4 linked regions of the Danio rerio genome follow. The protein of the gene in region 1 purifies or fractionates together with the protein of each later gene. This does not show direct contact. Links are inferred from orthologs where the notes say so. Each region holds a gene or a part of one and is shown in the gene's direction. Other genes may lie near its edges.

Region 1 (5,548 bases):
AAAGTGCTATACAAATAAAGCTGAATTGAATTGAATTGAATTAAACTATATGAGTTCTGTGAACTTACTCTATTTAGGTAAAAGTATTAAAGTACTTAATTAACTCATTACCTTCAACACTGAGTTCACTCTTTTCAAATGAGTAGAATTAACTTTCAGTCAATTTTGAGTTAAGTACACTCTTCATTTGATAAAGTTGACTGTTAGGTTTTACCGTGTATTAAATCTCATTTTTATTTAAATTAAAGTATTATTAAAGTATTTATTAAGGATTAGTATGTATATATATCATATAATGCCCTAAGCTAATACATTCAATGTATTCAAATATTGTTTCTTAAAAGTCATTTATAAATGTCACATTTACAATGAAACAGTTTTTAACACACACATATATATATATATATATATATATATATATATATATATATATATATATATATATATATATATATATATATATATACACATTTTTTTTTAATTAATTAAAATTTTTTTTTTTTTTTTTTTTTTTGCTAAATAATCAAACCATTTTTTTTACCAAACTTTGAATTGTATTTGGGTATATCTCACACATCAATAAGAGGCTTGCAAAAAAAATAAAAATAAATTCATGTTTATCAGAGGGGTCCTGGAGGGCTAGTGTCCTAGAGGGTTGAGCTCCAACCCTAATCAAACACACCTGAACCAGTTAATCAAGCTCTTACTAGATACTAGAAACTTAATGGGTAGTTGTGTTTAAGCAAGTTGAAGCTAAACTCAGCAGGACACCGATCCTCCAGGACCGAGTTTGGACACCCCTGATGTATATATATATGATGACATGGTGGCTCAGTGGTTAGCACTGTCACCTCACAGCAAGAAGGTTGCTGGTTTGAGTCCCGGCTGGGCCAGTTGACATTTCTATGTGGAGTTTGCATGTTCTCCCCATGTTTGCATGGGATTATTCTGGGTGCTCCAGTTTTCCCCACAGTACAAAGGCATGTGCTAGGTGAATTGAATAAACTTAGTTTATGAGTTTGTGAATGCCAGAGTGTACGGGTGTTTCTCACTGCTGTGCTTCAGCTGGAAGGGCATTTGCTTATATATTTATTTTAATAATTTAATATTCTTATTTTTACTTTAAAGTATTTATTGAGGATTATTATTTATATATTTATTATAACTATAATTGTTTATGTGCTTTTTCAATAAATTTCCATATACCCCTATCACCCTAGTACCTGCAGGGTTGAGAAAATCCTGCGCCAAATGAATACATTTAATGTATTCAAATATTGCTTGTCACATTAAATGTGAAATCGTTTTTGACGTTTTAATTCAAAATCAAAGTAACGTAAAATAAGATTTTAGTGAAATATATATACAAATATATAGCACATTTTAGAAAATGCAACCATTGGTTATTTAAGTGTTCTTAAAGGCTTAATAAATTAATTGAAGTAAATATAAAACAAAATAATTTAATAGATGAAATTAAACAATGTTTGATCCCAAACTTTAGTGTAATTAAACAAATGTTTTGAATTGTATTTGGGTATGCCCCACACATTAATAAGATTATTTTATATATGTATATTTGACACATGTTTGGCCTCCTAGTTTAATAGTAAACATTTTGTCAACCTTGATTTGTCGTTTTACTGGAATGGTTGTTTTATTTGAAGCGTCCCAGATCAGAAAACACCCCCTCCTCTAGCAAACTCCGCGCATGCGCAAATGAGCCAGCCCATCCCTCAGATGACACGCCCATCGGGGAACGTGCGCGTGCATAACGCTCATATCTGATCTATAAACACAGTAGATTGTTTCTTGCCTTTGACTACAGCGTGTGCCGTCTGATCCATATACTTTGTTGCTCACGATGTTGTTAAACACGCCGTTGAAAAGCCTCAATGTTCCAGTTATCACCTCACTTCCTGTATAGAGTTTAGTAATTCTGACTTTCGGATCTTTTCGGGCGACGGGACCTGGTACTTCTCAAAAGCCCGAATCCTCGGACCGCAGGCCCCGATCCAGGCGAGGTGCTGATTACCACAAAACTGCACACATTTCACTCAAAACGCGCATGTGTGTAGTCCTGCCGCACATTAGTGTATGTTTATTTGGAATGGAGCCTGATTTCAACCTAAATAAGAGATTTGTTTAAAGTATAGTGGCTAAAATAGTCGCCTTCGAGAATGTGTTGGCTCCTGTGACGCTACTCTCTATTAATAGCGTTTTCATTATTAGTTGGCTACACGTTCAAGATTTATGACAGAATGAGGTTTGTATGTTATTGCATGTCATTAATTGTCACCGTTTGTTTTTCTTTTAGGCCATGGCAGACTTTTCGGTAAGTTTCCTTTCTTTTTAACTGTTAATGAATAATCCTGTTGAACAATTCACTTTCAGCAGTTTGGAATGCATTTCCTCCTGTGTTAGTACAATAAGAAACTTTGTGTGTTTTTTTTTATCCGTGATTCCACTAGTATAAATGACTGTAGAGTGCGTTATACTTCCCCAAAGGTGAATGTAGACCATATTCTTTATTCAGCACATAGTGTTTTGTTATTAAGTGGGTTATAATATTGACTAAAATATAATAATATTGAAAAACTTTAATTCAGGCCAAACTGAAGGAGATAATATATACATTAGGAAGAAAATTATATATTAGGAAATACTGTGAAAATGTGCTTGTTCTGTTAAACATAAGTTGATAAATATAAAAAAGATAAATTCACAAAAGGGCTGTTCATCCTAATTCAAACTATAAAAAGATATTTGTATTTGATTTGTCATTTTGCACAAATGACAGATGCACACCTGCTGTAGAATCCAGTTATAATCGAGGCCTGATGTTTGTGCTTGTCCAGTATGATTTGAGAATGATTCAAAAATCATGTTTGTGCTTCAGTGGAAACACATTTCTAACTTTCCTTGTCTCAAAGTTTGTGTTTCCAGAACAATTCAATTCAGAACATGTTTATTTTTGTTTTTCAAAAATTCAATTTTCAGGTTTATTTTGTTTTCATTTTCCATATCTTAAAGAGCCCATATTATGGGTTTTTGAAAATTCCCCTCCATGTAGTGTGTAACACAGCTCTAAGTGAAGTGAAGTATCCAGCTAAGGCTTAAATCTGTAAGAATACAGTGTTTAAAACGGTTGATTCATCTATAAAAGAGTCGACTCATAATGCTTCAAACGAGTCGCCTTGATACCGATTCATTAGGTGTTTCGCCATGACGTACGAACCGAAAACCAAGTTATTCACGTGCACGCGCAAACCCGGGAGATTTCAAACCTGAGGCCCCGCCCTCTACGCAGAAACCCAGACACACACACCCACAAACACACGCACACAAACATGCCGGTCGATTGAAGTCACACTGCAGATGGACATTATCGATTCTCTACCCAGAGATGAAACCTCAGCATTATAACCAAGCAGTTGGAAACTTCTGGAAACTACAGGCTACAAAGAATACTTCATCTGCGTTTGTTAAAGTAAGGATCAGTAAAGAGTAACTTACTAATGGACGTCAGGATGAGTTTCTTCCTCCATTTCTCAAATGTAAGTACGTGCGATTAAAGTTGCCTCGTTGACTCTAGCTTGCAAATGTATTTAGTTGTGATTTGTTACTTGTAACCGCGTGTACTGTATCAGGTTAACTGGCTATATTCTCTTATCGCGTGCAAAGTCACGTTAAAAACGTGACGCGTGCTGTTTGTTTACGGAGCTCCGTGGTAGAGGTCTGCAAATTTCCGAATCAATCGCGGGAGCGGTCGGTAACAGGTTTAATTTGGGACGGGAGCGGGCTGTCTAGCAATATCGTGGATATTGCTATGCGAATGAGACAGAGCTTTGCCTGCCTGTGTGTCTGCTTGGCGCTTGTGTGTATGTGTTAGTGCGCGCGTATGAGAGAGAGAGAGAGCTCTGTCTGGCTGTCTCTGGACTGTTTAGCTGGGTGATTTTCGGTTATGTTCTCCCCCGCTCTTTAGCGGGATCGGGCGCGGCAGGCAGAAAACGGGGCGGTTCGGGCACCGGGACAAGAAATTCTAAATATAAGCGGGAGCGGTCGGGTTCAGGCTAAAACCTGGCGGGTGCGGGCGGAAGCGGGAGCGTTGTCGTCCAGAGGTGTTTGTGTGTGTGTGTGTGTGGCAGCTTAAATCCACGCCTACACTATGGAGCGCGTATGAACTGTGATTACTTTTATATTGCTGATTAGCTATTAGGCATTTCATTCTCTGACTGAAGGCAGTCGACCAATCGTGACAGACTGTCATCGGTCCAATCAGCGCAGATTAGCTTCGCGCTAAGGAGGGGTTTGGGAACAAATGAATCACTGGACGATTCATACAGGAGTCGCTGGGATAATTAGGTAAAAATAAAAGCAGATTATAAGACCATGAAAGTGTTTTTTGACTTTGCATGCATATTAGACTGTTGTTGGAGACCCTTACAACCAAGATATGACCCTATTTCATGTATAATATGGGCTCTTTAAATCTGTTCTCAGACTTTTGGACTCTACTGTTTGCCCTAGTTAGTCTTTGTCTTTTCAATGATAATAACAGAGCAGAAGTCTTTCTGATAAAATGCCTAGCTCATGTGTTATTTCTCCTATTATTCTCCTGTAGCTTGCAGACGCAATCCCAGATGATGTTCCTAGTGAAGCATCAAAAAATAAGCACACCAATCCATCAGCTCCTGGAAATGGAGCTCCCCCACCCACTAATCCTGGCTGGCCTGGTGCAGCCCCTGGCGGCCCTCATTTCCCACCTTCTGGAGGCCCTGTCCAACCTGCTGGCTTCCCCCAGACCTGGCCATCTGCCCCTGGATCCTTTCCTCCTGGCCCAGGAGCCCCAGGCCAGTTCCCTGGAGCCCCTGCTGCCCCAGGCCAGTTCCCTGGAGCCCCAGCTGCCCCAGGCGGATACCCACCAGGACCGGGCGTACCAGGACAGTTCCCTCCTAACCCTGGAGCTCCAGGACAGTTCCCCTCTATGCCAGGTCAGTTCCCACCAGGTGGGGCACCCATGCCATATCCTGTTCCTGGACAATTCCCCTCCCCACCTGGGGCTCCACAGGGTCCCAATCCAAACGTGCCTTACCCACCAGGTCCATCCGGACCTGGCATGTACGGCCCCGGAGGCCCTGGTGCCTTTCCACCAGATGGAGGTCCAGGATATGGAGGAGGAATGTTTCCTCCAGTACCACCAGGATCTTGGGGACAACCAGGAGGAGGCTTTCCTGCTCACCCAGGCCCACCAGGAGGCTACGGTCCCGGGCCCATGGGACCATACGGAGGACCTGCAGCTCCAGGTGGAATGGTGAGTTAAACTCCAGTCTATAAATGGGTTTGCACGTGTAAGTCTGCTTGTGATGGGTTTGGTTTGGTGACGGCTCTGCTGGAGTTGGTTTGGTCAAAATGTTGGTGACATCCACGTTGCTTTCAGGGTTGTCTGTTCGGTTCTTGAGGTCTGGGGGACTGTCCTGCTGGGGTCTCCTCACTTTACACCTGCAGATCTGAAACTCATTCACGTCTTATGGAGATCTCAAAAGCT
Region 2 (4,947 bases), on another chromosome or scaffold:
TCTTAGTAAAGCACTTTTGAAAATAGCTTGAGCTGAGGATAGCAGTAGAATGAATTTGGATCCAGATAATAACAACATAATAATACTACTAATATAAATAGAATAATTGTAATAGTCACATTTTCCACATCTTGAACACCACAGTAACCACAAGGACCATCTACAGCCCTAATTTCCTAGTTAAAGTGTTGTTGGTCATGTGTTTCAGTTGTTTGACATGCCTTTGTTTTGGGGAATGACGGGACTGTTTCACTTGGCTTTAAAGTTTGATTTGTGGTTTTTGTTAGCGAGCGCTAATGAAATATAACTTCTCTCTGGATTAGTGGTTTTAGTTGTCTTGTAAATGAGCAGTGAAATGCATGCTCTAGCTCATTCAGCATGGTATTTTCCTTTGAATGGAGCTTATAAATGGTAATATGTCACACACTGGGTGATTTCATTGCTTATCTGTTCGACAAATCAATAGTGCAAACTTCTACAAAAAAAATCCCTTCGTCCGGCTTTCCTACTGTAACATTTTAAACTTGTTAATACACAGAGAACATGTTGTATGTGTGTTTTTGGAGCAAGTAAAATGTTGTGCAATCCATGCTTGAATGGATTGTTTATGGCAGCTCTCGTTCCTATTGGAACATGTTCTTGGAATAATAAAACTTGCTTTCACTCTGTGGAGACAGTTATTATAGCTGTGTGTAATAAAGCAGTCTCTTATTTGGGGGTCTGTGTGGAGCGTGATAATCAGAATTATCAGTAGAAGTCTCCCCTGGCACTTAAAACATTTCCGTAAACTAACCATGAGCTTATTATCCACTCATGTTCCTATGGCATAAACTCATTTATTCATTTTTCTTTTGTTTCTGCACTCATTTAGAGTTCTCGACGGCCCAACTTCAAAGAGCTAAACAGCGATATGTTGCGTTACCAGAGGTGGCTCCTTAACAACAACTCCAAGGCCTTTTACACATGTGTCGTTGCTGAAGACCTCCGTCAAGGAACCCAGTACATGCTGCAGGTGTGTGTATGTGTGTGTGATCTGTTTTTAATTCATTCACTTTTTCAATTGTCCAGTTCATAAAAGCTGTAATGCCCAGATCTTTTTCACTGGTTAATTTAGAAATGTGTTTGCTCTTACTGAAGGTTTTGTTTAATTCTCTCTAAAATTGGCTCACATATTCTTCATGTCAATTTTTGCAAAGTCACTGGAATTTCAAAGGCTCCTTTGCACCATTTAGCCTAACACTGGGCTTTTCTTTCTTTTTGATTCTTTACTTGCTGCTTAGTGTGAGGTGTGCACGTGACCCATAATCTGCTCACAGCTGAATTCTGTTTCAGCCTATTTTGAAACATTTAATTCTGGTATGTGCATGTTGATTTGACCTACATTGATGTGGACAAAACTGGCCCCACAATTCCACTCTACACTATTGGTCATGCTAAATATCGCTGTAATACAAAAGGATTAGATAATCATGAAATGTTTTATGAAAATATACAATATTTTCTATTAGAGTATGGGTTGAGTTCAGTAAAAAAAAACTTAACACCCTTGGAAAGTCTGGTTAATGAAAGAAGTTTGTATTTAATTACGAGTGTGTGTGTTTGTGTTTTTACAGGCTGCTGGACTGGGTAGATTGAGGCCCAATACTCTGGTTATTGGTTTCAAAAATGACTGGCGCACTGGAGACATAAAGGAGGTTGAGACCTACATAAACCTAATACAGTAGGTTTAATTTTTTAGTTTGAAATCAATCCACTATCAATGCATATAATCCTATATTAGTGTGCCATTATGTTTTGTTGTGCTGTTGGGTATATACAGTCACCGCCTACATTATTAGGTACCTTACTAGTACCGGGTTGGATTACCTTTTGCCTTCAGTACTGCATTAATCCTTCATGGCGTAGAATAAAAAAGGTACTAGAAATATTCCTCAGAGATTTTGGTCCATATTGATATGATATCGTCACGCAGTTGTGGTTTCACCACATCCCAAAAGGTGCTTTATTGGATTGAGGTCTGGTGACTGTGGAGGCCATTTAAGTACAGTGAACTCATTGTCATGTTCAAGAAACCCATCTGCGATGATTCGCGGTGTATGACATGGTGCGTTATCCTGCTGTAAGGTGCCATCAGAAGATGTGTACACTGTGGTCATAAAGGGATGAACTTAGTCAGCAACGATACTCAGGTAGGCTGTGGTGTTGACACAATGCTCAATTGGTACTAAGGGGCCCAAAGTGTGCCAAAAAAAATTCCCCACACCATTACACCGCCAGCCAGCCAGAACCGTTGATACAAGCCAGGATAGATCCATGCTTTCATGTTATTGCCAAATTCTGACCCTACCATCCGAATGTTGCAGCAGTAATCGAGACTCATCAAACAAGTCAACGTTTCTCCAATCTTCTGTTGTCCAATTTTGGTGAACCTGTGCAAATTTTAGACTCAGTTTCCTGTTCTTAGCTGACAGGAGTGGCACCCGGTGTGGTCCTCTGCTGCTGTAGCCCATCCGCCTCAAGGTTTGATGTTTTGTGCATTCAGAGATGCTCTTCTTTATACTTCGGTTGTAACGATTGCTTATTTAAGTTGCTGTTGCCTTTCAAACAGTTTGAACCAGTCTGGCCATTCTCCTCTGACCTCTGGCATCAACAAGGCATTTGCACCCACAGAACTGCTGCTCACTGGATGTTTTCCCTTTTGGACTATTCTCTGTAAACCCTAGAGATGGTTGTCCGTTAATTCCAGTAGATCTGCAGTTTCTGAAATACTCAGATCAGCCCATCTTGCACCAACAACTGTTTAAAGTTCCCCATTCTGATGCTCAGTTTGAACTGCAGCAGATCGTCTTGACCATGTCTACATGCCTAAATGCATTGAGTTTCTGACATGTGATTGGCTGATTAGAAATTTGCAGTTGGACAGATGTACCTAATAAAGTGGCTGGTGATTGTAGTTTATTTGCCTGAAATCTGGTATTTATATATGAAACATGAGATTCAAGGTGAAATTTGGACAAAACAATATGCTATATGCTTTCAAAAAAAAGTAGTGAGTAGTGTTGCTAGGGCTGTAGCGCCATTAAATAGTTATGGTACAAAAATGTACACTTTCTTAATGGTAGATAATTGTTCCTTCATCTAAATCAGGCGTGACCAACCCTGTTCCTGTCGACCTACCTGCAGATTTCAGTTGCAACCCATATTAAACACACCTGCCTGTAATTATCAAGTGCTGTTCAGGTGTGTTTGATCAGGGTTTGAGCTGAACTTTGCTGGAAGGTCGATCTCCAGGAGCAGGGTTGAGCACCACTGATCTAAAAGATAAGCTGTTGCAACAGTAAGTTTTTTTTTTTTTTTTTTTTTTTTTTTTTTTTTGTTTGTTTGTTTGTTTGTTTGTTTGTTTGTTTGTTTGTTTGTTTGTTTCTAGACATTTAAAAAAAAACATTTAAGCCATGAATAATTTGTTCTAATCTAGTGTTTTTAATAGCATTGCTTTTAACAGAAAAATATATACTGATGTTTATTCTCAATTGTAGAAAATACAACAATTTAGAAACTAATATTAACCACATAAATTATTTTTACAAAGTTATATAGCTTTATGCTAATATACACCTTTTACATGTTTGTGTAAATTGCAACTAATGTTTTGTTTGTTTGTTTGTTTGTTTGTTTGTAGTGATGCGTTTGATTTTCAGTATGGTGTTGTCATTCTCAGACTGCGAGAGGGACTTGATATTTCTCACATTCAAGGTCAAGGTATAGTCCTGTACATTTAACTTCAGCATGAGCACGTAACTTGTAAAAAATAAAGAGTTTAACAAATGCTTCTGCTTAGTGCAGCCCTGCAGCCTAGCTTCAGGTGAAAATCTTTGTCTCAGCAGGTCGAAATTTTACTCCGTTTGTGTGAGAGAGAATTTAGAGCAAAGTATGTGAACTCTTAAGCCTTTTTAGAGGGAAAACATGATGCTCATAGCTGGACATGCGTGATTTCTTCAATGTTTAGGCAGATCTAATCGTCCATGTAATTAGTTCATTAAGACTTGCTTTTCATGATAGATCTAAATTTGCCTTGACCTCAAAGTAATGCTTAACTTTCCATTGTCTCTAAAGATGATTCTTCAGGTATGAAGGATGTGGTGGTTTCAGTGGACATAAGCAAAGACTCGGATGGAGACTCATCCAAACCCTCCTCCAAGGCCACCAGTGTTCAGAACAGCCCAGCGGTCCAGAAAGGTTAGCACTTTTACATCTTATTTTGCTCTTGTTAAGTTCTAAAGAAGGTCTTGTCAGGCTTTGTACGGGTGCTTGAAATCTTTCAAAATGCTTGGTTTATTTATTTATTTTTTGTGTAATGTTTTTAAGATTTGGAAAATGCTTCGTTTTTGGAGTAGAGTGCTTGAAACAGCTTAAAGATTTAAATGTTTTGCTTTTATAAAAATCTGATTTACTAAATAGGTAATACTTAAAATGGTCTAAATATATATTTATCAATGTGCCTATAAGCATGATATTGCTGTCTTTTTTTATCTGTGCCCTTTGATTAAGTGGGAGAAGACCAAATGGATTAAGATTACCACTTCATAAGTGAACAATACATGGTAAAGTAAATATAATGTGAGTAAATGGCATTTAGAAGAGTCAGTGACTAATTCTATGCTTGGCTTTGGGCATACTTTAGACTAAATTGCGATTTAGGGTGCTTTCACACTAACACTTTTGGTCCGCACCCGGGTTCGTTTGATGTCAGTGTACGGTACGTTTAGCTAGTGTAAACAAGTCTTCTGAACTCGAGTGTGCACCCGTGAACCGTACCCGAGACCGCCTAAAAGAGGTGGTCTGGGGTACGGTTCATGCGAACTCTGGTACGGTTCACTTCTGATGTGAATGCAATCACACCAAATCACGCAAGTGAACCGCCAACTGTACAACAAACTATAATTTTCA
Region 3 (4,113 bases), on another chromosome or scaffold:
ACCACGCTTGGCCAAAGTAAGATTGTTTTCCATTAACAAAACCCTCACCTGCTTATTAAGCCTCGTCAATTTCAGCAAATATGTCATCATAAACACATCATTCTCTTGTTTTTTAGAGCCATGAATTTCGGTGGGATAGGTGTGGTTATGGGGCACGAACTCACCCATGCTTTTGATGATCAAGGTCATTTATTATTCCTTATTTCAGATCTGCTGTGTGAGACTCAGTCAGTTGTTGTGATAGAAGAAATATAGTCTTGCTCTCTTTCATTATCATACATATAGGTGCTAATTTTATTTAAACAATACTGCATATTTAAAGTTTAAGCAACAACATTCTTACCTAGAGAATCGTCTAATGCCTCTGCTGTGACTTTTGTGGTGAGAAATGCAGCAAACAGAGTTATACAAAGGAGGTTTCTCTGAAATACAGCTTATGGTTAAACATAATTTTAGTTTTTTCTCTAAACTACCATACCTTAAGTTTAAAATGAAATGTTCTCATTTCATATGTGGTAGAATAACTCTGATTTTTACCCTAATTACCCTAACCTGCCTAGTTAACCTAATTAACCTAATTAAGGCTTTAAATGTCACTTTAAGCTGTATAGAAGTGTCTTGAAAAATATCTAGTCAAATATTATTTACTGTCATCATGGATGGCCAGGATAAAAAAACAGTTATTAGAGATGAGTTATTAAAACTATTATGTTTAGAAATGTGTTGAAAAAAATCTGCTCTCTTATTAAACAGAAATTGGGGGAAATAAACAGGGGAGCAATTAATTCAGGGGGGCTAATAATTCTGACTTCAACTGTGTGGTGTGTGTGTGTGTATATGTGTATATGTATGCCATTATTTGCTAACTTGTCCCAACCTTTAATATTTCATCTAATTTCAGATTTGCAGTGTGTAAGACTTAATCAGTTGCTGTAATATAAGAAAGAAAGTGTTCCACTATTTTATTATCATATATATATAGAAAGAAATGGAAGAAAAGTTATCCAATTTTTGGGAAACTGGTTTGGGAATTTTTATGTGAACCTTTTTTTTTATATATCTTTATCAAAATGTTAATAAATACTAAAGAATAGTTCACAAATTTATTTTAAAAAAAAATAATATCATTTACTCACTTGTTCCAAACCTGTTTAATTTTTTTTCTGTTGAACATAGAAGATATTTTGAAGAAAGGTAGAAACCTGTAGCCATTGACTTCCATAGTATTTTATTTTTAACAAGTCAATTGTTACCGGTTTTCAGATTTCTGCAAAATGTCTTATTAGGGTTCGAAAGACAAAAAAAAACAAACCTATAAGGATTTAAAACCACATGAGGATGAGTAAATAGCAAATACATTTTCATTTTCATGTGAATTATCCATTTAGCCAATCTTTGGGTTTGGTGGCAACATTTTTAGCTTAGTTTAGCTTAGCATAGATAATTAAATCACATTAGACTATTAGCATCTCACTTAAAGATGACCAAATAATTTCGATTAACATTGCTTTTTAAAGTTTGACTATTCTGTAGTAAGCTTTAAATATGACAATTTTTTAATATCTGGTATTTTTGAGGTAGATGCTAATGGTCTAATCCAATTCAATGATTTATGCTAAGCTAAGCTAAAAGTGATCCTGCTAGAACCAGAGATCGGCTAAATGAAATTAAAAAAGGTAGAACTCAACTGTTTGGCTCTGGAATAGCTGTGAATAGTTTTTCTTTGAAATGTTTATCCTTTTAAATCATCTTACTATTATAACAGAAATTTGTTGATGTTGAAATGTGAATATGTGTGTTATTTTAAAAAAACTAATATTTTACAGGACGCAAATATGACAAGGATGGAAATCTTGCAAAATGGTGGCAAAATTCGTCAGTGGAAGCTTTTCAACACCAGACCCAGTGCATGGTGGAGCAATACAGCAACTACAGTATTAACAATGAACCCCTGAATGGAAAACACACTTTGGGAGAAAACATCGCTGACAACGGAGGCCTGAATGCGGCTTACAAGGTTTGTTGTGGAACAAAAATCTACTTTTAATCTATCTAATTCAATCGACAGATCTGTTGTGTCCATCATACAGACGCCAGTGGTTACTTTCCATAACACGAAAACAGCTTCTGCGTATGGCGTGTGAGAATCCGAGACCAAAGGCATTACGTTCTCTATATTTCCCTCATTGACGGCTTTGATAGTATTTGGGGGGCTGTAGTGATCCCGACTCGCTGAAAAGCCTTTGCGGGGCAACAGGTGGCTCCAAATGGGCCGCTGTTCCTCCAGCAGCTCGGATTCTTTCCGTCGGCTGAAAAGTCATAGGTTACGGAGCAGATGCACAAAGCATATGGCCCGGAGAAGAGCCTGCGTTGACCTCTCTGATGGAGAGGAAAATAAGCGTGGACACGAGGGCTCTGTTTATCTGGCATCTCAGCATGCAGAGTTATTGGTGGACTAATGTTATCACGCTTGCTTTGCAGGCTTATGTAAACTGGATCAAGAAGAACGGCGAGGAGGCCAGTCTGCCTGCCCTTGGGATGAACAACCATCAACTGTTTTTTGTGGGATTTGCTCAGGTTTGTGTGTTTTTTTTTTTTTTTTTAGAAATGTTTGATTGTTGGCCTGATAATTTGAGTTGTTTTATGTGCATGATAAAAAGGTTTTGGGTTCATTCTTTCATTCATTTTCTTTTCGGCTTAGTCCCTTTATTAATCTGGGGTCGCCACAGCGGAATGAACCGCCAACTTATCAAGTATATGTTTTACGCAGCGGATGCCCTTCCAGCTGCAACCCAACTCTAAGAAACAGCCATACAAGCTCATTCACACTCATACACTACGGACAATTTAGCCTACCCAATTCACCTGTACCGCATGTCTTTGGATTGTGGGGGAAACTGGAGCACCCGGAGGAAACCCACGCGAACGCGTTGAGAACGTGCAAACTCCACACAGAAACGCCAACTGACCCAGTTGAGGCTTGAACCAGTAACCTTTTTGCTGTGAGGCGACAGTGCTACCTACTGCGCCACCATGTCGGGGTTGTGGGTTGTGAATCATTAATTAGTAAGGCTAGGATTTATATTGAGTTCCATACTTTGTTTTATTGTCTGATAATTGAAGTAAGGTGTGCTTAGCCTGTGCTGTTAGAAACGGGTTAAACTTTACAATCAAAAAAAGGCACAAAACAACAGCAAAATATGACAGTTGTGTCTAATAAAACCTATAGAATCTATTCAGAAAACCCCAAGCAACAGAATAATTATAAATAACAATGCCTTTTGTTAAGAAAAAATTATATAAATGAATAAAATATTTACATAAAACATAACGATGGTCTTAAAACCAAAAAACTAAATTAAATTTAGTTAAATCTGGGCCAAACAAAACCTGTTTTGGGCTAAAATAAATATAAATATCGAAATTAAATAACTAAGCACAGAATTTTGATAAATTGTATCAAACAGCTATATCACTCTGCAGCCCAAGACTGGTTACTCACTGAAGCTAAACAGGGCTGAGCCTGGTCAGTACCTGGATGGGAGACAGCATGGGGAAACTAGGCTGCTTTTGGAAGTGGTGCTAGTGAGGCCAGCAAGGAGCACTCAATCTGCGGTCTGTGAGTCCTAATGCCCCATTATATTGAAGGGGACACTGTACTGTCATTGAGCGCTGTCCTTCGAATGAGTTAAATCAGAGTCCTGTCTCCCTGTGTTATTAAAAATCCCATGCCACTTCTCATAAAGAGTAGGGGTGTAACCTCAATGTCCTGGCCAAATTCCCTTCACTGGTTCTTACCCATCATGGCCTCCCAATCATCCCCATCCACCAAATTGGCTCTATCACAGTTTCTCCACTCCACCAATAGCTGGTGTGTGGTGAGCGCACTGGCGCCATTGTCCTGTGGCTGCTTTTACATCATCCAAGTGGACGCTGCACAATGGTGGTAATGTGGATACATTTCAAAAAGAACAAGAAAATCACACTAAGGCTAATTTTGACCAACTATGTATATATAATGTTTTTATTAAATAAATAACATTTACAGTTGAAGTCAGAATTATTAGCTAGAATTAACAACTTGCCTAATTACCCTAACCTGCCTAGCTAACC
Region 4 (4,861 bases), on another chromosome or scaffold:
TACATAAATATTAAAAATAAATGCTTTTATGTCTTCTTCGTCTCGGGAGGCTTTTTCAGTTCATTCATAACAATTTGCTTTTGTATAATGTTATTATTATTAGCAGTATTATTTATTATATCCATATTTATATTTGTTTTATTAAAAACAAGCTTAGATTTATATAAGGAGATTTAGATAAGGAGCACATCATGTGTTTTAGGATATAACTCAGGTTTTTGAACACACTTTGTTAATGTTGTTCATTTATTTGTTTGCTGGAAATTAGAACTGAATTTAGAAATAGTTTGGAAATGAATATTTGCGCTTAACAAACAAAAGTATTTATTTATAGACTAATTGATGTCTGTGCGTAAAGGTTTCCCTATCCAAGAGCGAAAGTGAAAGTAGTTCCATTATCTCTCATTCTCACGCAGTAGATGCTCTGTTTAACAGTTTTCTGTTTAAAAACTGTTTACTGTTTGCTTGTGAAATGCTCATTTTTTTCCACTTAGACTTACTTTACGTCCTGTAAATAGCGAATGCGCTTATGGCGTGACGCAGCTGGCTCTTAAAGAGAATGGGAGATGAGACTCTAATTAGTTTATTCTCAAAACACACCTATAACTCATTAAGAAAATAAACTCAACCCTTTTAGACTATGCGCCACGACACAAGGCAGATTTCCCGTTCTTAAATTAGCAAAAATGCGTCCTGACACGCCCTGAAAGCATTTGCGCCCTGCGTTTTGTGCTCTGCGCATGGACCGTCAAAATAGAGCCCTATCACAGTAAAATTAAAAATAATTAGATACAATTAATTGTTATTAAAGTTACTAACAGTGCAATTATTTATGTCTGAATGCTTTAAAAATCATCATATAATCACAGGCCTCAAAAACGCATGCGATTGATAAATTATAATACTGGATCAACATTTGCAAACTGTAATGTGAGTAGGACACTGACAAGGAAAGTGCAGATCCAAATGCAGGTTTATTTCTCAGGCAAGCAAGGGTCAACACTCAGACAGACAGATGTATACAAGAAATCCAGAGTCATAGTCATAAAACAGACAGATGGTCAAAAGGCAGGAAGCAGACAGGAATAAACAAACAAAACAAAGCGTGGATCAAACACGGCAAGGCAAAGAAAACATGTCAGAATGTTCACATTGCAGCTAAACAAGACTCAGCAATGAGAGTCTCAAAGTGAGCTATATATATATATATATATATATATATATATATATATATATATATATATATATATATATATATATATATATATATATATACAGTTGAAGTCAGAATTATTAGCCCCCTTTGATTTTTTTTCTTTTCTTTTTACAATATTTTCCAAACGATGTTGAACAGAGCAAGGAAATTTTAATAGTATGTCTGAAAATACTTTTTTCTTCTGGAAAAGGTGTTATTTATTTTATTTCGGCTAGAATAAAAGTCGTTTTTATTTTTTAAACACTATTTTAGTGACAAAATTATTAGCCCTTTTAAGCTTAATTTTCTTTTGATAGTCAACAGAACAAACCATCATTATACAATAACTTGACTAATTACCGTAACCCGCCTAGTTAACCTAATTAACCTAGTTAAACCTTTAAATATCACTTTAAACTGTATAGAAGTATCTTTAAAAAATATTTAATAAAATATTATCCACTGTCATCATGGCAAAGATAAAAAAATCCAATATTAGAAAATGAGTTTTCAAAACTATTATGTTCAGAAATGTGTCAAAAGTATTCTCTCCGTTAAACAGAAATTGGGGAAAAAATAAACAAGGGGTCTAATAATTCAGGGCGGCTAATAATTCTGACCTCAACTGTAAGTGTAGTGTGATCAGTCCATGAGCAGCATCAACTGTGTGAATCTAATCAATAGAGACTTGGAGCAGGTGTGTGTGTGTGTTGCATGACAGGACTTGTAGTTCATATGAGACAGGATTGTAGTCCAAGTAAATGTTCTCCAGCGATCCATGGTTAGATCGCTGGTGATCGTGACACAAATCATATGATGTGACTATTGTGAATTTTCACATTGCGATATCCATGCTGAAACAATACAAATAAGTGTATATATGATACAATAAACCCATGGGGTTCAATGAAATGCAGGCTCCTGTGGCTCAAATTTCCAGAACACACTTCCATTCTCTATTCACAACTGACCCAAAAGATCCACACCAAAGGGGAAAAGGAACTTGAGTTCAATCAAATCTAACTAGACTAGAATACACCCTTAGTTATAAATTGCAATTATTGATCAACACTCTCCTGTCAAAACAATTGAGACCTTCTGAAGCACTAAAACAATATGCTTGAATTTAGTTTCAGCTAGTGTTGTGGTGTTGTGATTGCTGTGCTGTAAATCATGTCAAAATCATCCGCTACTGAAATTTGATATCCAAATGATCCCCTTTTCTCTCTTGTTTCTTCTATCTGCAGGTAACATCAATGAGTGCAGGCTGAATTATTACTTCTTCCTCCTGGCCGCCATCCAGGGAATCACACTCCTCATCTTCCTCATCGTGTCTGTGAAGTACGACAAACAGAAGCCAAAACCAGCGAGCCATAGAGCGTCTATGAGTAACTCATGACCTCCTTAACTCATCGCCAGCCTTAAACAGTCATACTCTCACCTTCACTCATTCCTCAACCCACAAATCACGTGCCAAACATTTTGTTAATTATGAGGTATGATTTTAAAATATTTGACTCGAAAACTTGAAGTCCCATGCGTTTGCTGGACCTGGCCTTACTATTGATTTTTTTTTTTTTTTGCAAGAAAATCTGTCTGAAAACAAGATACAAAATATTTCGTACTGTATGAAATGGCTGGAAATGAGGTTTATTGACTCCATTAATGGACTTGATAGGTACATTTATTCTCAATTTAGATTTTTTTGACTTCCTTTGTCCACTATACCACAGAATATAGTGGATAATTATATTACACAGTCCACAAATGACACTCTCAAATCGAAAGTGTTTTAGATTTGTTTACTATGGGTTATACCACATCACCAATTTAAATTGAATATTTATTCAGACTTTTTAAGTGATTAATGCTCAGCAAGGTTAGACCACTCCTCTTCAAATGTATTTAAAATTGTATTTTTGAGCATGTCTTGTTTTTGTGCTATTTTTCATTTTACTTCTAAGGTAATTTTGGCACTATTGCACTGTATGGTGCGTTCTTTTGTTACTTCATCAATTCTAATTTATTAATAGATACTAATTGGCTTGTTTTTAAATATTGTTGATGTCTAAAAAGAGACAACTCTTTTGATTGGCTACTCTTTTTCAGATGCACACAAGTAGCCCATACAGAATCATAAGTGAAGCAATTGAGAAACATGCAGTGCAACAGACTTGATATATTTTTAAATAGTCAGATCTATAATAATTGTGTCCTTAACAGTTTGATTACATTTGTATTTTCGGTACTAAACCTGTGGCATTACAAGCTTTTCTCACTTTTTAGATGATGTTTTTATCAGGCATTAGATTCCTACTAGCTTGTTTTTAAAGATTTTGATCATAAGTTGTAAGGCCAAGCATGGCATCACTCTTTATAATGCTTACCCTAAAAAAAAAAGAAAAAGAAAAAAAAGAATAAAATAAAAGATTTTTGCTGCTTGTTCTTAACTACTTATTTAAAATGAACTGAAACAACACAATTCTAGAGGTTTTCATGGAAAACTGAATTGTTTTATGTCGTTAAATCTGCTTAAATTTGTATAAACAATTAAGTTAACTTAATCGATTTGTGTTGGGACAACATTTAGCATTTTTATAGTGTCTGATGAGCAGTGTTGGGGGTAACATATTACATAATAGTATAACTTTTTAAGTAACTAATGAAGTAATGCATTACTTTTAAAAATAAGCAATGTTATTTTTATTACATTTTACCTTGCTTGGCTTTTAAAAATATATATTGTGGAATAAAATTACATTAGGTTAAATTACATACTCAGTGAGAGAGCGTGCTGCGATGGAACAAACAGTTGGCTCACAATCATTATCATCGGATCTCTTTTTTCAAAGCAGATGAGTCAGTGTACTGTTCTAGTTACTGAATAACTCAGGATATTGATTTAGTTAGAGTCAGAAGGGGTATCCGGCATGTTAAAAAAGTAAGTACTTTGTCTACTGAAGACGCAACCGTTTCATGCCGACTCACTTCCCTTTGGTGAACTGATTCGACCAGTTCACTTAGAAGATCCAGTTAAAAACAAACGATTCATCCGCGAATTGGCTATAATCACTCCAGACACTTAGAAACAGGAGACTTACATTTTTTTGCAATAGAGTCTTGTTTTTTTTTCATCGAAGCAGAGAAGTGGTTCAAGTGTAGATTATAAGTAAAACTCTTGACAACTGCAAGAAACACGACATCGCATACCTCCAGCTTAACAAATGACTGACATTAGTTCACGTTCTCCAAGAAAAACAATTAATTATACTAAATAAAAATTTATCGCTTTTATTGTTGAGGAGATGCAGCCACTATTAAATGTTACTGTAGAAGCAACTAAGTTTTTGTAATATAGTAAGATTTTATTTAATTTTTTTCTCTTGGGAAATGATTTACACCTTTAAGGCCACGTAAAGCAATTTATTTAATATATAAAGCTCATAGATTTATTTTGATTTAGGGAATTTTCTTATTGTCTTACTGTTCATTTTGTTAATAAACATTTTAAAGTTTTAAAGTTTGTTTTTTACTTAATATAAATTATTTAATGTTAGTACTCTTAGGCTTTATTGCAATCTTTATCTTAATGGACAGTGAATTTACTTAACTAATAACACAAAAGTAGCAAATACATTACAGGCTTTCATTAATCTGTTTATACAA

The links.
Region 2: the proteins of lgals3a (region 1) and slc12a2 purify together in Homo sapiens (affinity purification with mass spectrometry; 3 studies listed by BioGRID and IntAct, counting the BioPlex papers as one, with this or other methods). This does not show direct contact. The link is inferred for Danio rerio from reciprocal best matches to the Homo sapiens genes LGALS3 and SLC12A2.
Region 3: the proteins of lgals3a (region 1) and ece1 purify together in Homo sapiens (affinity purification with mass spectrometry; 3 studies listed by BioGRID and IntAct, counting the BioPlex papers as one, with this or other methods). This does not show direct contact. The link is inferred for Danio rerio from reciprocal best matches to the Homo sapiens genes LGALS3 and ECE1.
Region 4: the proteins of lgals3a (region 1) and slc15a4 purify together in Homo sapiens (affinity purification with mass spectrometry; 3 studies listed by BioGRID and IntAct, counting the BioPlex papers as one, with this or other methods). This does not show direct contact. The link is inferred for Danio rerio from reciprocal best matches to the Homo sapiens genes LGALS3 and SLC15A4.

Annotation. Positions count from the first base shown.
Region 1 is NC_133188.1:40,044,729-40,050,276, reverse strand, and holds the start of lgals3a (galectin-3), read left to right. Parts: upstream 1-1,847; 5' UTR 1,848-2,024; intron 2,025-2,317; 5' UTR 2,318-2,320; coding exon 2,321-2,335; intron 2,336-4,624; coding exon 4,625-5,314; intron 5,315-5,548. UniProt on the Homo sapiens protein: Galactose-specific lectin which binds IgE. May mediate with the alpha-3, beta-1 integrin the stimulation by CSPG4 of endothelial cells migration.
Region 2 is NC_133185.1:18,569,057-18,574,003, forward strand, and holds part of slc12a2 (solute carrier family 12 member 2), read left to right. Parts: intron 1-871; coding exon 872-1,012; intron 1,013-1,613; coding exon 1,614-1,720; intron 1,721-3,679; coding exon 3,680-3,753; coding exon of another isoform or gene 3,754-3,759; intron 3,760-4,113; coding exon 4,114-4,236; intron 4,237-4,947. UniProt on the Homo sapiens protein: Cation-chloride cotransporter which mediates the electroneutral transport of chloride, potassium and/or sodium ions across the membrane. Plays a vital role in the regulation of ionic balance and cell volume.
Region 3 is NC_133186.1:30,031,198-30,035,310, reverse strand, and holds part of ece1 (endothelin-converting enzyme 1), read left to right. Parts: coding exon 1-16; intron 17-116; coding exon 117-184; intron 185-1,826; coding exon 1,827-2,017; intron 2,018-2,481; coding exon 2,482-2,577; intron 2,578-4,113. UniProt on the Homo sapiens protein: Converts big endothelin-1 to endothelin-1.
Region 4 is NC_133183.1:42,789,730-42,794,590, reverse strand, and holds the end of slc15a4 (solute carrier family 15 member 4), read left to right. Parts: intron 1-2,442; coding exon 2,443-2,594; 3' UTR 2,595-3,629; downstream 3,630-4,861. UniProt on the Homo sapiens protein: Proton-coupled amino-acid transporter that mediates the transmembrane transport of L-histidine and some di- and tripeptides from inside the lysosome to the cytosol, and plays a key role in innate immune response.